3 linked regions of the Caenorhabditis elegans genome follow. The protein of the gene in region 1 interacts with the protein of each later gene in a pairwise test. Each region holds a gene or a part of one and is shown in the gene's direction. Other genes may lie near its edges. The genes, in order: frm-1, C26C6.8 and tofu-4.

Region 1 (3,755 bases):
TGCCCTTGGTCGATAGATTGGATGAATGAAGGAGTGAGGGCGCCAACAAATGTCTGCGCATCTGGAAGGTCTTGCACTATTTCTCAATTTTTATGCTCTTTGTGAGGGACGGACATACGGTGACCAAGGGCATAGTGTCAGAACCAAGAGGAACCATCTGTTTGGAGATGTTTTGAAATTTTGTTTTGGCAATGCTGGGCATTTTTCACTTCTGGTAACGGTTTTGCATTGGGTAGTTTGAAGTTCGGAGCAGTGGTTGGTGGCAATTACAACTGGGCCGTTCAAATTTTCGATAATTCGATAATTTCCTCAATTTTTGAGATTTGGCAGTTGTTATCTATTGCCAAATATTTTTAATTTCCAAAGGTCAAACAAGGAGGGGCGATGTTGACTGTCTCTAAAGCTAGTCATAACTAGGTCTGTGAAACAGCGGAAGGAAACTTTCCAAAAAATTAATTGCCTCCAATAATTCTCTCATCGGCAACATTGTCAATCTACAAGCTGGTTCAACAATAAAAACTGTTTGTTCTCTCTCTTCTTTGCTATTGCGAAAAATTGTCTCATTGCAACACCTCTCTCGCCTTCATCTTTTCTGCCTCCGAATTCCCACTACTGTGATTGACTGAGATGAAAAGAATAGAATGAAACAGTGTAATAAACTAAACGTTTTTGTTTTTTTTTTCTGCTGTTTTGTGGCCAACACAACGCCTGTTGGTTTCGTCTTCTTCATCCTGATGGCGGTGGCGAGAATAAGAGAGGAGAGCAACAAATAGCACAGAAATAGCAACAGTTGTGTGTGCACCTCTGCTATCAATTGAAGCTCTCCGTAAGCATTATTTTTTGCTGTTTTGATATATTGGAATTCTTTTGAAACTATGTGAACAATTTTTTATTGTGATATTTGCCAATAATGTGTATTTTGGGTCTTGTAGCGACCAACATGACTGACAATGAGAAAATTACTCTATCGAAAACTTCTAATTAAAAATACTAATCGTGATTTCACTTTATCAAGTTCACAAGCTTTTTAGAAACGTGTAATAAACGCCTCAAGAATGTATTCGGTTGGGTCTCGCCACGATAAAAAATTGTGGTAGCAATTTTCTATTTATTCGGGATTTCGTGAGCAATTTTTGTAATCATCACTTTAATTTTTTCTCGATGTTTTCCTATTTTTTCCTGAACTAAAAAATACGAATTACTTATTGAAAAGCTAACGAAAATCAAGGAAAATCGTTAAAAACTAATAAATTCCTGAAAAAAATAAAAATTTCCACCATAAACGTTTTCGTCGCGGCGAGACCCACTCGAACATAACTATGCGCCTTTAAGTTTACTGTAGACAAATTTTGTCCGTTTTTTCGATGTTTTCCTCTATTTTTTTCTATTTTCCTACCATTTATTGTATTTTAATTAAAAAGTAATTAAAAAGCTAAAAAATTAACTTATTCCCTGCAAACTTTCGACACGAAATCTTCATTTCTCAAAAATTAGTGTTATTCGCGCTGCGAATCCACATTTTCCACTTTTTCACGTTCTCTGGCATTTATAAATTTGTTTTTGTTTTTCAGAAGATAAAAACGTAAAAATTCACGTTATAAATTCCCATTAAAATCGTCAAAGCCAAAATTTTGAATTCGTATTTATTTCTAGTAAAAAAAAAGTATTCTTCAACTTTGAATGTAAATTTAGTTAACTCTTCCACTGTTTTTCTCCAATACTCTTTCTTTTTTCATTTCCACCTTCAAATGATCCTAATATTTCATGTTTTCTCACCACAATCTGCGGGTACCGGAGAAAAGGTGTAATTTTTCTTTATTGTCCTTCTCTACTATGCCTCCCAGAATTTATTGCGTTTTTTATGCCGGGCATTGGCTACTTTTTCTCCCAACAACACCAATTCATCCCTTCTGTCTTTTTTTTTCGCAGAAAAACAGAACAAAATGTGGCATTTCGAATAGAGCGCGTTTGCATTACTCCCCCCCCTCCTCCCTGTCGGCCGGGCAATTCAAATTTTAACACTTTCTTTTGCTCTATAAACTTTTAAAACTTCTATTTTCAATGAAAGTTGCAGTTTTTTTTCTAATTTTTATTAATTTCCTCCACATTTCAGAGCAAATGGGTACCGATAGAGATCCCGGAGACCAGAAACACCCAACGACTAGCCAGCAGCCACGAGATTCGAAAATGCAGTTGGCAAAAGTTCTTCTTCCCGACGGAGTTCAAAAGGAGTTTGAGGTTAATGTAAGTTTTTGAAGAATTTCACCGGAAAAACTGCTAAATTCTAAATTTTTACAGAAAAACTCGGAAGGAGAAGCACTTTTCCGACAAGTGACACGAGATCTATCGATTGAGGAACGCGAATACTTCTCGCTGTGCTTCTACGACAAAGATGAGGGAACACGACATTGGCTATATAATGATAAGAATATTGCGAAACAGATTAAAGGTAAAAATGAGAAAAAAAAGAAAATTTTGGTTAAAAATGTGGATTTTCTTCACAAAAAGCTAATTTCCCCCGCTTTTTCAAAAAAAAAAAACTGCCTTGAAATTTTTGGAAAGCTGTTTCAAGTAAATAAAAATATTTCTCTTATTCGGAAAAGAAATTGAATCGATTTCATGTCCAAAGTTGTATTAATTTTCCTTTTTTTTTGTAAATTCCCTGATGAATTACAAGAATCTAGGAATATTATCCTTAAAAATATAATAAAAAACTCTAACCCGCGGCCACGTGTCGATTTACGCAGCTCGTGTATTCCTCGAAGAAAAATAGTTTTTCTACATTTTTCGCAAAGTTTTCTCAAATCTTCTGTGTATTTCAAAGAAAATCGAAAAATCTGATAATTTTAATTTTGAAATCGAGTCTTTTTTAAAAGTTTACTGATTTTTTATAGAGCGAAAGCGGAAAATATTGAAAGTTGGAATTTTTGTTTCAAAAAAAAAAATTAGTCTGAAAAACATCGAAATCTCGAACAATTTTCAACCAAAAACTGCGTAAATCAACACATGGCCGTGTAAGAGGTTTCCCGCGGCCACCTATTTCATTTTCTTTTTTAAATCAATTTTTCAACCAACTGTCAAATTTTGCAGGTCTTCCTTGGGAATTCTCGTTCGAGGTCAAATTCTACCCGACCACACCTACAACGATCGTCGACGATCACGCTCGCTACTACGTCTTCCTTCAACTCAGACGTGATCTCCTCACCGGACGTCTTCCAGCTACTGCCGACACACATTCTCTTCTCGGATCGTTTGTCGCTCAAATCGAGTTCGGTGATGCTCCAGCAGAGATGACGGATGCCTACGAGCAGTTCATTGTGGCGTCCAAGCTGGTGCCATCAGCACAAGCGAATCCGGAAACATACAAGAAGATTGTCGATTTGCACAGAGAGATGCGCGGACAGACGCCTTCTGAAGCTGAAAATCAATTTTTGGATCACTGCAAGCACCTGGCTCTCTACGGAATCCACCTTTTCAAGGCAATCTCCGTATGTTTTTCGACAAAAAAAGGTTCCTGCTCGAGTACTCCACTAGGAAAATATTTTTTCTTAAATTAACATCTAAACTTCTATCATTTTCTTCTTTTAGTGCTCATTCTTCAAGTCCTTAATTTTGAAGAAATATTTTTAGTGGTTTATGAAAAAAATAGTAGTATTTACTTTTGTCTAAAATAATTAATTTGTTAAGTATTCTCTTTCAATTTATCAGCTTGGTGATTTTTAAGCTAATTTTGAAATTTCCGCCAATTTCTTGAG
Region 2 (3,755 bases), 7.4 Mb from region 1:
AATCACTCCTATTTGAAGCAAAGCATGGCAAAAAATTTTAGAATTCTTTTTTATTTACAGTCGATTATAATTGCGGAAGTAGCCCGAAAAAAAAACAAAATTTCCTACGTTTTTGGGTTTAATAATATTTAGTTAATTGTGTTTAAAAATTTCAATGTTGTGTAGTTTAACATTTCCTCACTCAACAGTGTTCAATATTTAAAAAAAATTTTGCAAGGAAAATTGGAAATATGCCAAAACTTCATCTGAAACAAAAGTTAAATGTTTAGTTTCTCTGTAAAAACGTAAAAATGACAAATATTGAAATAGTGAATTGAGACTTGAGAAGACTTTTAGATTTCAAAAAGATTTCAAGACTATTACACAAAAAAAAATCAGACAGAAACAAAAAACAAAAAAAAATTATTAAAAGATTGACACTGACATGTTTAAAAAGTCACAAAACATTTTCGAGTACGTAGTTACTCGAAAAAGAAAACTAAGATCTATATGACGTCATTTTGATCTGACACAGGTGACACATCTCATCCATCCCGTAGCTCTTCTCCCACAGAAACATTTTGTGGTGTGAAGTTACTAGATGCACACTTTACTACTTGAATGGAGGAGGTTAAATGATGAAAGAACAGAAGGATGCTCATTATGATTGTGATGTTTCAAATATTATAATTATTGTTTCACTTTTGCAAGTTCTATAAATTGATTGAAAAATTGACAAAACTCTGGATTCAGAAATTGCATTTTTCAAAATGTGTAAAATTTCAAAAATCGTGTTATAAATTTTAAAAAAGTCCAATGTTTCTGATAAAAAAATGTTTTAATTAGATGAAACACTGAAATTGTTCAGTTTTTGTCAGTGAACAAGAGAAATCACAGAAAAATTGTTCCGAAAGGGACTACTTTACTCCCTATTTGTCTTGAAATCTCTCAAAAATCAGTATCTTAGAAATTATAGTTAACCCACAAAAATACACTTTAAACCGTTCAAAATCTATTCATTATTTTTTCAAATAAGTTCAATATGTTATAGAACATCTTTGATATGAAGCATATAACAAACGTCATCATAAAACATCATATCACGTTCATAAAATCCTTTTCTTTGAGGAATTGTCTTGTTACAGATTGCACAACGGAAACAATCAATATGAAAGAGACGATTAAATGCAACAAGTCCTCGTTCAATTACTGGCAATGAGCATCCTGTAAAATTTGTTTTTTAAGTAATCGTAAGGGGCTCTAATCTTTCCTATATGTAGCTGAGTAATCAAAGTTCGTATAACCCGTGCAAAACCGAATTCACAAGCCATATCATTCAATTTTTAATTTCTACTAATCAGTACTTCGAAGAACTAAAAATACCTGTGCAAGATGGATGATTTGTTTGAATATGACATGCATAACATGATGGTTTCATTGGATCAATTGATGAACGGAAATAACGATTGTCCGAGATTTGAAGCTAAAATTGGATATTTTGAAATTTTGGAAGTGCTTTTTTCCGAACGCTTCCAAAACTAACTTTACAAAAAATGCATTGAATATGATCCCGATGCCACATTCGATTCAGAAAGAAGACAACTTTGTTCTAAAAATTACTTTTTTAAAGGAAATACACCAATTGTGGATTTACCTTTTCGACATCCTCCTCGGCGATTTTGGCTTTACATCCTGCACAATTGATAAACTCAATAGTCATTTTTCTAGTTTATTTGGAAATAAATTATTTTTTATTAAAATTGTATTCTTCGCCTCCGAATTTGTATTTAGTAAGCGGTTGCCACGTAACTGGTATTAAAATTTATTGGTTTTTAATTGAAAACTTCCAAACAAGATACAAAAGTTTATGCATCTCTGCATGGTAATCTCCAAAATACATAAAATATCACAGATTCCTTATTTCTAGGGCAAAATAAGCCATTATACTGAAGCCAAATAATACTGTCCGCCTTTCATGCCTTTCCCTCCCGAGACTCCATCTTTTTTTCCAATCAGATCCAATTTTCGGTGAACAAACAATAATTTGACATGCCTCTGTTGATTAACCGTGTTTTGTGAGCAATTCATTGGCTTTTCGTCGCACAAAAACAATGGGCATTAGGAGCATTTTTTGGAAAGTTGTATCTGGAAGAGGTGAGCACAGTTTGTCCCATTTTTTTTCTAATTTTAGCTGATTAAAAATAAAACCTCCAAAAATGAATTTCAGTGCCCGATAATGGTGGATGGGTTGACAGTATGCAAGTGGATCATTTTGATCCTTATACTCCAGGACAACTAACAAAAAACTTCACAGCAACTGTATAGTTTTCAGTTTTTCCAAATTACCCCAATTTCTAACCTCTCACTTTTAAGGTTGCTGACGAAATTAGTGTAACCCGTGGCACTACAGTTAAAGCAATTTATCGAGATGATCAATGGATTTATGTTGAGGTATCTGATGGAAGAAAAGGATTTGTTCCACAGACATATTGTAAATTGCTTTTGAATTCAAAACACGGTGAAAAGGTGAGCGTTTTAGATGTTCTAGAAAAGTTATTTTTAGTGCAAATCTTAAAGAATGCAACAACACGTGTAATTGTGGCATTTAATGATATTCATTTAAAACTACTGTATCCGGTCTCGACACGACCGAAATATGCGCAAAAGAATGTGCGCCTTGCGAATTACTGTAACCACACTCCTAATTATTTCCAATATTTCATAGATATTTCATAGTTTTGTCATTGAAAAATCGAAGAAAAGTGGTGAAAATCATTGTCACCTTTAGTGAGAACAACTTAGAAGCCACGTGATGTCAGAGAGTCCCATTTCGGTTTGATCTCCAAGAATTTCGGGAATGGAACCGTTGAGAAATCAAATCAAATACTTTTCAGAAAAAGGTGATCGGATCCAGCGCGACACTTGATCGCCGTTGGGAAAAATCAAATTTGCAGAGATTTATCGACAGTCTTCCTGTTCAAAAAGAAGAAGGAGAGGTTTTTAAAATGGTTTGTTTTGAATAAAGCTATTGAATATTCTTTTGATACTATCTGCAGGATGAGATATGCGAAGTTCAAATACTACAGTCATTTGATGGATCAGCTCCAGATGATATATCTGTGAAAGATGGAGAATCTGTCACAGTTTTGAATATATCAGATCCTGAGTGGACCTATATTCGAAATTCGGACAATCAATCTGGTTTTGTACCTTCTTCCCATGTTAAGATTCCACATGAAATATTGCAACAAGCTAGCCGTGTCATTAAAGAAAAATGGTATCGTAAGTTCGCAGTTTTCTGAAACGCTTAAAGGTGTACGGACTTATTCAGATGGGTCATGGGTGTTATTCTGTTTTTTTTTTCAGAATTAAAAGACTCAGAAGACGCGAAAATTTGTTATTTTTGCGCCAAAAATACAGTACCCGGTCTCGACACGATAACAATTTTGTTAAGTGTGAAAACGTGTGCGCCTTTAAAGACTACTGTAATGTAAATACAACTTTTCGTGCTCATAGTTTTTCTCACGATTAGTAAAATAAAATATATGTGTTTTGTGGTTTTTTAAAATAAATAAATACATTTTTTAACGGAGAATTATGAAAAATCTATGCAAATTCCTCAACAACGAAAGTTTGAAGCTACAGTACCCTTTAAAGGCGCACATCCGTTTACATTTGATAAAAAATATTGTCGTGTCGAGATTGAGTACCATATTTTTGGCGCAAAAATTGCAAAGTTTCGCGTATGGGTAATAAAAAATCAAAAGAATCGACTT
Region 3 (3,755 bases), about 10 Mb from region 1:
AACGTTTCTTTGCAGCTTTCACTATTGGAGAACGTTCCCTTTCAACAACCATTGGAACTTCATCATTATCAGCAATCAATACATTATATTCGGACTGCAGAACCATCATTTCACTGGCCATACTTGGATTACAACGAATTGATTCGTTTGCCACATCTTCGTCCATACGTACTTCTTGACGACCTATAAACATTAGAAAATTAATTTTTTTTCTCGACAAAACGCACCTGGTGAAAAATAGATTTCGTCAAGTTCAGGATTCTCAGCACAATTCATTGTGTTATCTCGAACAACTTCGATCGGTGTGATCGTTGAGTTGAGCAAATCATCTTCAAAATGAGAAACTTCCACTGGTGGACGAATGGCTGAAGGCTGTTCAACCATGAATTTCGAGGCATATGCGAATTGAAATCTGAATCAATTTAATTAAGAATTTGATGATTGAAATGACGAACAAACCCATTGCCGTGAGGAAAACTAACAGCACCAAGATTGATCTGCTCAGGATTCACAAAATCGTCGACTTGTTGAAATCCGGGAACGAATTCCGGTTCTAAAACAATAATTTATTTATGATTTAAATTAAATATTTTTAACCTTACCTCCTCTGTATGCTACTTTCATCGATGGAATGAGGCCTCTTGGTAGCGGACGGAGCAGGCTTAGAACATTTCTAAGCTCGCTGAACATCTTGCAAAACTGTTGAGCAGTATCATCCATGTTTAAATAATTCACCACAAATTTAGATTTACGCCTGGAAAAGAGTCAGTGAAATTTATATTTAGATAAATGATCTAACCCTCCGTATCCGATTTCGGCACTTGCAGATGTGGTTGAGTCATAGACAAAGGTCCAGACAAACGTTTCCACGGGATTCGTGTTTAGTGACTCTTCAACGACAATAGCGAGTTTCTGCAAACAATGAATTTTTACCACTTACGAGAGTAAAACTGTACCTGAAGGAGTTTCTGACGGATCGCGTCATGAGACGCCAAAAGCTTCGAAGACACACTCCGTCCTTCTGGAATGTCTTGTCGCAAAGTATATCCGCTGACATCTCCTATAAAATAATTCATGCTTAATTGCAAGTCAGATAGATAAAACCTCACCATAAACTTGAAAATCCTGGAAGTATTCCGCAGGAATAACTTTCCGTTCACGGAGAATTGTTGAGTTTGCAAGATAAACGCAGTTGGCCATCACTTCAAGAGAGCTTTTCGAATTTTCATCACCATTTTTCAATGTTTGCTCGTTGAATATAGCCTGAAAATTTTCGTTTTCTCGACAAAAAAAACTCTGTCAAATCTACTCACCCTGTCATCACTCGTCAGAGAGCCAGGGACAACAGAAGAGTCGAAGCTTTCGTCCATTTTGACACTTAAAATATTTTAAAACATTTTTTTTAATTAAAAACTAATTGAAAATGAGAAAAAACTGAAAAATAAATGAATAATTTGACATAAAATAACTAATTTCAACCGAAGTTTACCGTAACTCAGGTCAACATGTTGTGTTCTCGTGTCGAGACCCATGGAAGAAATGTCATGCACCTTTAAGTTTTTTCTTTTATATTTCAATTTTTTTCCGTTCATTTTCTACTTAAAATGCACTTTCAAGAGAATTTCTCATATTTTGAAGTTTTAAAATTGTAGTTTATTAAAATCTGAGCATATCTCTATGTATTTTGAGTCTAGAAACCGCTTTGAAATGTGCAAAGAACAGATGAAAGCACTTAAAATTTAAATAAACGTTTTTTACTTATTCATTTATTGTGTTTTTAAGCTTCTATATTTAATAATGAGACATTAATTTCAGATGAAACCGACGACGAGAAGCGCATCAAAAAGAGCAAATGCGGAATCTTCGGGAGTGAACCAGCCCGAGAAGAAATCACGAATTCCTGAAACAGAAATTGTAGAGGATCCGTTGGAGATCGAAGTACCGCCCGCATCGGCAGATGGCACTGACAACAAGAGTTTTTCAGAAAATGAATACGACGATGATCACAGTAGCAGCAGCGACGAGGAGAGTGATGATGAATACGTTGTGGAGACTCACAAGAGTTCGATGGTGGATGCTGCAGAAAGTTCCGAAGGCGAGCGACCGGATGAACGCGTATGCTGCCTTTTAAAAAATTTTTATCGATTTAACTTCTTTAAGATTGTCCGAGAATTAGAGCAGAAAATTGCTCGTGGGTTGAAGAACGACAGGATTCTCAAAAAGAAAAAGAAAGCGTTAGATGGGGAAGTCTCAGACACTGAAGACGTGGTTTGTGAGTACGAACCACAAGCGATGCCGAAGCAACGAAGAAGGCGACTGTATAGAAGAAAAATGGTGGGATTTTAATGCTAGTTGTTGAAATTTAGAAATGATTTCTTGCAGACCAGACCTCAAGGAGTCCCTAAAAGACGTCGCATCAAGAGACCGGACCTGGAACTTGCAGATGATTACACCTGTGACACTTTTGCTGAGCAAGGATTGACTCTGAAGGTGTGTAAGAATTTATAATTTAAATATTTGCAATAATTTTTCAGTCTTTGACAAGTGACATCAAACAAGACGATCCTGAAGTCGATTGGAAAGCAATGAGAAGGATGGGTATCGGAATCAGATCAACAAAAAGAGACGAAATCAATTCCGATGAGGATGAAGCGGATATTATTTCGCATTCATTTTCTTTCTACCAAACAAGAAACTCTAAAGAGCAAGTGGCACAGGCCGTCGAACTAAATATGAACCCTTTTTCGGAGAAGATCGCGAGCTACAAGTAATTGTTAAGAGAAATATCATGAATAAATATTATGTTTTCAGTGCTCCAAAGTCCGTTCATGGATACAGTCGATCTTCAATTCAAAATCAACATTCAGGATTTATTGACAAGAACGACATCAAATATCCGGACGAATTATTATGGCAGGAACCATTTACGTGAGTATTTTAAAACCATATATATTGATTAAGAATATTTTTCAGCCATCTCGTCTTCTTCCAATCCACATTCAATGCTCACGAGTCTTCCATCAAGTTCCTGAATAATGTCGCAAATTCAAAAAAGCAGGAAAGAGACTCCAAACTGATGAAGGAAATTCGCGAAAGGATTAAGCAGAAATCGCTCGGACATGTAGATGTTCCAATCGACTACACAAACGTGGAAAGTACATCGGAGCAGCCGTCGACTATTGATCAGTACAGCCTTCCTGACCTGACTAGTCAATGCGACGAGGGAACCATAAAGGAGGAAGAAGACTTCGACTATCTGATGGTAGACGCAGAATTCTAAAAGAATTTTTATCCGAGTCACATTATTGTTTTAATTATTCTCTGTTTGTTTCAAATTTTAGAGCATCTAGCTGTTGTTTGAGAATCTCAAATCTCAAATTTATTTATATCGTGAGAATATAATCTATCGTTTTTTCCCGTATTTGACCAAACATTTTCTGTAATATTTAGCTTTTTCGCAATCGTTCGACACTTTATATACGTTCTTTGTTTCTTTTCTAGTAAGATGTTTTTTTTTTTAATAAAACTTTTTTTAAATTTTGAAAATCAAGTTTCATAGAAAAATAGCGATGAGATTCTTGGGAGCGACCAGAAAAATTTGATACAAAACATTAATGGAGATGGAAGAAATAAGTTATTAAATATCAGTCGGTTGACTGTGACGCTTGAATACATCCGTTGTCAAGATCGGATCGGTTTTTGTTAGGCAGGGGAAAATAGTTCTGAAAAATTGAAGATTTAACTTCTTCAGTGGT

Evidence for each region.
Region 2: the proteins of frm-1 (region 1) and C26C6.8 interact in a two-hybrid assay, tested with the Caenorhabditis elegans proteins (one large-scale study listed by BioGRID).
Region 3: the proteins of frm-1 (region 1) and tofu-4 interact in a two-hybrid assay, tested with the Caenorhabditis elegans proteins (one large-scale study listed by BioGRID).

Annotation. Positions count from the first base shown.
Region 1 is NC_003279.8:14,895,726-14,899,480, reverse strand, and holds the start of frm-1 (Moesin/ezrin/radixin homolog 1), read left to right. Parts: upstream 1-2,118; coding exon 2,119-2,244; intron 2,245-2,298; coding exon 2,299-2,449; intron 2,450-2,696; exon of another isoform or gene 2,697-2,918; intron 2,919-3,090; coding exon 3,091-3,488; intron 3,489-3,755.
Region 2 is NC_003279.8:7,503,916-7,507,670, reverse strand, and holds the start of C26C6.8 (SH3 domain-containing protein), read left to right. Parts: upstream 1-2,028; 5' UTR 2,029-2,090; coding exon 2,091-2,133; intron 2,134-2,206; coding exon 2,207-2,298; intron 2,299-2,352; coding exon 2,353-2,505; intron 2,506-2,873; coding exon 2,874-2,987; intron 2,988-3,035; coding exon 3,036-3,256; intron 3,257-3,755. Other genes in the region: C26C6.6 (LIM zinc-binding domain-containing protein), read right to left, coding at 1,025-1,203, 1,363-1,462, 1,523-1,588, 1,634-1,699.
Region 3 is NC_003279.8:4,824,694-4,828,448, reverse strand, and holds tofu-4 (Twenty One u-rna (21U-RNA) biogenesis Fouled Up), read left to right. Parts: upstream 1-1,809; 5' UTR 1,810-1,815; coding exon 1,816-2,115; intron 2,116-2,160; coding exon 2,161-2,334; intron 2,335-2,382; coding exon 2,383-2,490; intron 2,491-2,534; coding exon 2,535-2,767; intron 2,768-2,811; coding exon 2,812-2,928; intron 2,929-2,973; coding exon 2,974-3,280; 3' UTR 3,281-3,545; downstream 3,546-3,755. Other genes in the region: htp-3 (HORMA domain-containing protein), read right to left, coding at 1-183, 228-412, 460-553, 603-754, 800-912, 957-1,060, 1,110-1,263, 1,314-1,370; F57C9.6 (G-protein coupled receptors family 1 profile domain-containing protein), read right to left, coding at 3,638-3,722.